2 linked regions of the Nothobranchius furzeri genome follow. The main gene of each other region encodes a partner of the protein of the gene in region 2 in a complex. Links are inferred from orthologs where the notes say so. Each region holds a gene or a part of one and is shown on either strand. Other genes may lie near its edges.

Region 1 (2,429 bases), on a different chromosome or scaffold from region 2:
GTTTACTGGCTAGCAACACGTAGCTATGTGCCGTTAGCTGCTAGCAACACACGTGCTGTTAGCTGCCAGCAAAACATGTGCTGTTAGCTGCTAGCAACACGCAGCTACGTGCCGTGAGGACAGAGTACGTTCACTACAGAGGGCAAATTTCTTCTTCACAAGTTGTTCCAAATAAACAAAAATATCTCAAAATGAACCTCAGATTTGTTATGTTGACAGTTTGAGAGACAGAAGTAACTGCAGAGTTGATTTATAATATGTGTATGGGATGTAAGAGTTGGCTCATTAAAAGACTGATAGATATGTTCAGATATTCCACTTTTATGCCGTTGTTAATGGCCGACTGATAACATTGGACATTTCTACTGAAAATGCTTTTAAACCTTCTTTCTGAAACTACAGGTTAAACATTTTCTGTGATGCTGCTGAAACACCCGTAGATCAAATCTGCGTAATCACGTTTCACATCACAACCAAAGTTTCAGCATCAACAAACATAAGAATTCTTTTTTTATGTTTTGACTTCTTCGTTTAAGCAGAATTTATACAGAAATCAAATCAAAAGCAGTTTTTGGGGAAAAGTAGCTTTAATGTAGTTTTAGAAAACAGTAACAAAGCTGAGACAAAAATAATAAGAAATGAAAAATAACGAGTTTTTCTGATCGTTTGAATCCAGAACCACGTTGAACCAATGCTACCAGGAACTGAAGTCCCCGAAACTCGTCTTTCCTTTGGACTTCTTGGGTGGAGCGCCGCTGGTGGACGGCCCGCTTTCATCTTCTGCTGCTGGACGTTTTCTGCAGGAGAACATTCATAATATCATCTGCTGCAGATAAATGAGGAAAGTATTAATTCATTTTAAATGGAAGTCATGTATAGCGTATGTCAGAAATAATTATTGATCTGAGTAAAGTACGGTCAATGTTAAAAGCCACGTTCATGTTACTGAATTAAGGTATTTAAACCGGGATTTTCAAAGAGAGCCTGGATTGTGGGATCTGGGATCTACGTGGTACACCCCCAGGACGGGACACTGATGCTGGCTGACCTTCATAATCAGCTGTCTTTTTCTACCAATGTGAGACGTTTTCCCATTCAGTTAAAGTAACTTTCCAGAGTTTTCTACTTTCAGAAATCATGTATGGTTATTCAGAAATCCGTAAAAGTGATCGTCTCAGCATGTACTGCGATATAATGTCAGTAATATGTCTTTATTTTATAGAGACATATTGCAGAGCTCCGTGCAATAAGAAACCAGAACTAACCAATAGTGTTAGACTACCGCTTACTTGCTTCAAATTTAAGGAATACCTCGGCTGATACAGAGTTGATGAACTTTTCACGGACAAGAAAGTCTTTAAAATATAAAAATATGAAAACACAAAATGACATGAGCACAATACTCGTTAAACGATGTGTTTTAGCCGTTTGTCGCTACAGAAGCACATTTATAAACAGAAACGAGAAGTCGCCATCTTAAAAAAACAGAGCAACAGACTTTTTGTGTGACATGTTTGTCAACCACTAGATGGTGCCATGGGATAAAAGAAATACTCCAGAAAGAGACTTTAACCCCAAAAATCCACTACCTCCGCTCCGGCACGAACTCCGCAGCAAAATCGGTCCCGTTGTAGTCAATCAGAGCTGTTCCACTACAGCGGCCGTTCCGCCATCCGGCAAAAATAGGATTGATTCTGTTTTTGCCAGACGCCGGAACACCTCCGCAGTCAATGGACAGAAACCACAACCGCCCAACAGGAAAGGGAGCAAGCACAACTTCCGTTATTTCACAATAAATCGATAAACAAAAAGCATTTTTTGTTTCATATGCACAGGTTTAACAACTTTTAACAACTATCAATGGCGGCTGAACTTTAAATGCACAAAAGTAAGCCATAAATACAGTTTCCACTATCAAAGTAGTCACACTTTGTTGATCCAAACACTGCTGATCTCTCAACACAAATGATGGGCAGATTAAACAGTTCATTTCAATGCTTCTCCCACACAACAGGTGTTTGGATCCAACTTCCGTGTTTATTACTCGGACTGTATCGCAAGATCTCGAAAATCCTGCGCATGCCTGTTTGCGCACCTCAGGTCTCCGCACCGGAGCGGAGCCGTTGCAGAGCGGGTACCAGTAAAAATTGAGTTCGGATGCGAGCGGCTGCGGAGGGCGGGGGCGGACCGGAGCGGAGGTAGTGGAATCTTGGGGTAATTCTGCTTCATTCTGTCTTTTGTATTATTTTAATTCATAATGTCTTCAATCAGATTTCTAAGAACCAAGTAGAGAAACAGTTTGATGTTTTGGAGCCTCATGGAGTTGTCTCGTTAAAACGAGAACAGTAGTTATGTGTACTTGTCTTTACAGGTTTAAGTGGACAGATTTTGACTTTAACCTGTAACGTGTGAACATGTGCATAACGTGG
Region 2 (4,360 bases):
TCCCTCGGGGTTGCTGCAGGAGGACGCGGGTATTTATGAGAGGAAAACGAAAGTAAATAAATGTTTTGTGATCAGTATAATTCGACAAAACCACGGCAAACATGCTTTCTCGACAATCCTTGTTATTGTGTGAGAAAATAAAGTGTAGAAATTAAAACGGACGTGTGTTAATAGGGAAACAGCTGGCGAGCCATGATTGCGCATGCGCCGTGAGCGGTTCTGGTTCTGTTTGGGCCGCAGCCACTCGCAGCGCTACTTCAACAGTTATCCTAGTTTTTGTCTGGCTTGCAGGCTCGTAGATTCTCACACCGGGGGAAATTAGCTCAGGTTGTTTACTTATTTTTTGCACAGGCATTTGTTTACTGTGAAGTAAAGTTGAAGTGCTGAAGTTTTGCAAACTGATTTTGAATAAAACTTGAAGAATAACTGGCAATAGCGTACTCATTTTAAGAGGTCTTTCATATTTTATAACATGCTATTTGATATAATGGTTTACAAACACAAAAGGGTCATTTATTAGAGTACTCGATTAATCGATAAAAGATTTGATAGAGTACTCGATTAATCGATAAAAGATTTGATAGAGTACTCGATTACAAAAATATTCGATAGCTGCAGGCCTAATTCCTGCATCTATATTCTTTCCAGTGGAGGTTTATGGATTAGACTTTTAAAAAGCTGTTAGAACTTCATCAACTGCTGTTGAACTGATTTGCATTTCGCTGACAACTGGGTGCATATCCTAGATATTGTTCCCAAATATACATGCAAACATTTGAAAACACACCCTGCTTTGGGAACATTTGTATTTTACTGCTGCTGAAGGATAAATAGGCTGCTTTGTTAATATTAATAAGTAAAATTATAATTACATGAAGTTTCCTTAGACATTTTGGAGCCATGACTTTATTCACTTCAGTCTCTTTAGCAAAAATTCCCTCAAACTGATCAAACAACGCCCCCTGCTGGACACGAAGATAAACACCTTTCAGCAGTCTGACTATGATCTGAAGTTGAACTGATTAAAGAACATCAGTGAGCCCTGGTTCTGCATGTTTTAGTTCCTTACCTGCTCCAACACACCTGATTCAATAGCTTAATTCTTCTGAAGCAGCTCATTATTCGCCTAATGACTCAAATCAGGTGTGTTGAAGCAAAGAAACATAGAAAACAAGCAGGATGATGGGTCTAAAGAGCTGAATTTTCCTGGGGTACAAATTTAATTTTATCATTTATTTTGATTTGGCTTAACCAAATTTATGATAATAAAGAAGTCTGACACAGATAAAACCACACAATAAAATCATCAAGCAGTAGCAAATCCTGAGCAGGTATACAAATAATTAAATGGTTTATTTTTCCATGTGAGAAGATTCTGTGGTTTGGTTGTTAGGAGGAGAAACGGCACCCACCTGCATGTTCATGTATCCATCCACAGACACCAAGTAGCCTTTATACTCCATACCCCACTTCAGCTTCACCATCACAGGTTTTCCCGTCAGGCCGTTCAGGAAAGGCTTCGGGTTCAGAGGTAAACTCTGTAGAAGAAGAACAGAGGTCAGCAAAGCCATTACATCCCACACTACTGAAGAAAATTAAATGCATTTAACGACTACATTTCATGAATTTGTAACGCTGCTGAACAGCAGCGTACCCCCAGCCGTCCGTCCTACAACACAGATACTCCTCACTCCAACATGAAGGAAATCCGGATTCAATTAAACGTTTTTGCGTAGAATCCAAACTTTAAATCTACTGCAAAGTAAATCATTTTTATTGACTTTACTAATGAATTACTTAATGGCCAAACAGCTGTTTAACCAATCTAATTTTATTCATAAAAAACGTTTAATGAATCAGCGCAACTGATCTGTGTAATAAAACAAGCTGTTAAATCCTAATAGTGTTATTTTTCTTTAAATTGCATTATTTTGTTCAATCACTATTAAATTTTAATATGTTCTCCCATAACACAAAGGTTAATCCGGGTCAGGTGGTTTAATAAAAAGGTTTAAATGCTTTACTGCTGTTTTATTTACCTGCAGCGTCAGCCTGACGAAGTTTGCAGCCGCAAACGAAACGTTGCAGGCAAATAAAACCTTTCTGTGTTTTAAAAATAACTAAAAGATGGAATTAGAATTTCAACACAGCAAGCACACACCAAAGATGCTCTTAGCTCATTCTGAGTCGCTTGTTTTAAACCGATCATCTCTCTTAAGGCTAGCTACAGGACACCGTGGACTTAAAGGCCTGAGGAGTTAGCTCACATTATAAAGATTAAATAGCTAAAGGTCGAGAGACATATTATTAATATATATTCATTTCCTTATGGAAGCTTTTGATAAACGATCTTAGCGAAATAGTTTGGACTTTATTTTGCCAGGAAGCGAGGGGATGCTAGCGGTTGATGTAGCCTCTGCGGTCTTTTCTCTTGTTTATTAACAGTGATGAACGAGTAGACGGCTTACAACCCAAAGGGAATAAGAAACCGAAGATTTATAACACCAGTTTTGTGTTAATATGTGTTTGAGGGTGTGAAAGGTCTAGGTCGAAGTTATGAATGAAAAGCTAACATGGCTAACGCTAAACAACAAAAATACACTGAATTAAATCCTGATAGTTCATTCGCAAGACGATAAAGATATACAACGTCTTACTCACCATTTTATATCAAATTAAACAGCTTTAATAAGCTAAATCAAAAAAGTAAAATATGTTCGTCTCGATAACGTTTGCAAACCACGAAGCACGCTTTACCGCCGACCGGAAGTACAACTTTCCGACCTGGGCACGAGTCTCCGTGCTTTAAACAGCGCCTCCCAGTGGCCGGATGAGCGAACTGCTACCCAAGTGATTTAGTGTAAAGCTCCAAAAGTTTCCCCTCTTCCTCTCATTTACAGTCACCCATTGAACAGTAAACTGTGAGCTGATAAACGAAACGTGAATTAAACACCTACAATATGTATGCACGATCTCTGGGGTTGATATGTCAGTTGTTTATAGAGTATCTGCTATATGTTCGTGGCACGATACAGAAATAAAGTCCAGTCCAAAAAGTTGTATCTCCTCTACATTCACAAAAGAAAATGGCAAAAAAAATCAGTTATTAAGTCCAGGAAAAACTAGTAATAATTTTCTTCAAACTCGTTTTCATTCTCAGCAACAAGATCATGTCATCTGCCTTGAGTTGAACTCCTGCTCTATTTATGTCATGCAGGATCAGTGACTGATTGAAAACATATCGGTTTAGGAGCTAAACCTGGCACGACTGTCATAACTGGGTCATGCTTGCTCTCTGCAGCTTTGTTTTTCTCCAGGCACAAGAAGCCCGATGTTTAAAAAATGTTTTCTGCTCTGAAGCGTTTGTCTGTTACCAAAAAGTCAGGCAAGTTCAAACCTGCCATGGTGAATAAAACCGAAATCTGACTTCATTCAGCAAATGGCTGGGTTTTGTCAGAAAAATTCCTATGAAATTGCTCTGGATCTCTCTCTGCATGTTTGAAATACTTGTTTCTTTACATCACTGAGTATTTTCCCGACCTCACCTTTCCAACGTGTAATTAACCCGTCCATCAGACAGTCTGGTCTCAGTTATGGGATGGAGACGGTACGCGAGGTTTAGAGAAGTGGCCAGTCAGAGGGTGCATGAGTTGTATGAGAACTACTGTTGGCATGAGGCGTAATAAAATCTGTTACAGACAGACAGACCGACTGAACCGATAAAGAAAGCATAATATATTTTTCATGTGTTTAAAAACGTATTTAGAGCTGCAAAATGATGAAGAGACACAAATAAATTTGCAGTGTTGCAAAAACTGTAGTCACAAGAAAGTAACTCGTGCAAAGCAACCAAAAACAAAAGGGAAATTATTTATTAATTAAATATGATTTTAAAATAGCAAAATTAGTCTTACGAGGCTATAAAATAAAAAAGATGACATTTTCACCAAATGGTCACAAAGATTAGAAGTTATGAAATAAAAATCATTTAAATTAGTAACAAACAATGAAAAGAAAACTACAATTTATTCTAAAAGACCAATAAAATCAGCAAAACGACCACAAAGAGACACAAAATTACATAAAAGCGATCAAAGTTACCAGAATGACAACAATCACAACAACAACGTTGCCTCTACAAGTCGAACGGCTTTAGGAAACATCGACCGAAGAAGCTGAAAAAGAGAAAAATCACCAGAAAAAGAGCTGCGACTAAAATGAAGCTTTAATGTTTTCACGTTTGAGGGGTGAGGTGTGTTCTCATCTGCCTGCAGCTGTTGTGTGTTTAGAGCAGCGATCACCAACTCCCCTCCCCGAGGGCCGGTATCCAGCATGTTTTACTGTTTTCTCTGCTTCAGCA

The links. The genes of interacting proteins can lie anywhere in the genome.
Region 1: snrpf (region 2) and ppil2 share a complex: the UniProt entries of both Homo sapiens proteins name them as parts of the minor spliceosome. The link is inferred for Nothobranchius furzeri from reciprocal best matches to the Homo sapiens genes SNRPF and PPIL2.

Annotation. Positions count from the first base shown.
Region 1 is NC_091750.1:38,489,656-38,492,084, reverse strand, and holds the end of ppil2 (RING-type E3 ubiquitin-protein ligase PPIL2), read right to left. Parts: intron 798-2,429; coding exon 695-797; 3' UTR 569-694; downstream 1-568. UniProt on the Homo sapiens protein: Has a ubiquitin-protein ligase activity acting as an E3 ubiquitin protein ligase or as an ubiquitin-ubiquitin ligase promoting elongation of ubiquitin chains on substrates.
Region 2 is NC_091741.1:34,923,131-34,927,490, forward strand, and holds the start of snrpf (small nuclear ribonucleoprotein F), read right to left. Parts: upstream 2,802-4,360; 5' UTR 2,665-2,801; coding exon 2,662-2,664; intron 1,539-2,661; coding exon 1,413-1,538; intron 1-1,412. UniProt on the Homo sapiens protein: Plays a role in pre-mRNA splicing as a core component of the spliceosomal U1, U2, U4 and U5 small nuclear ribonucleoproteins (snRNPs), the building blocks of the spliceosome.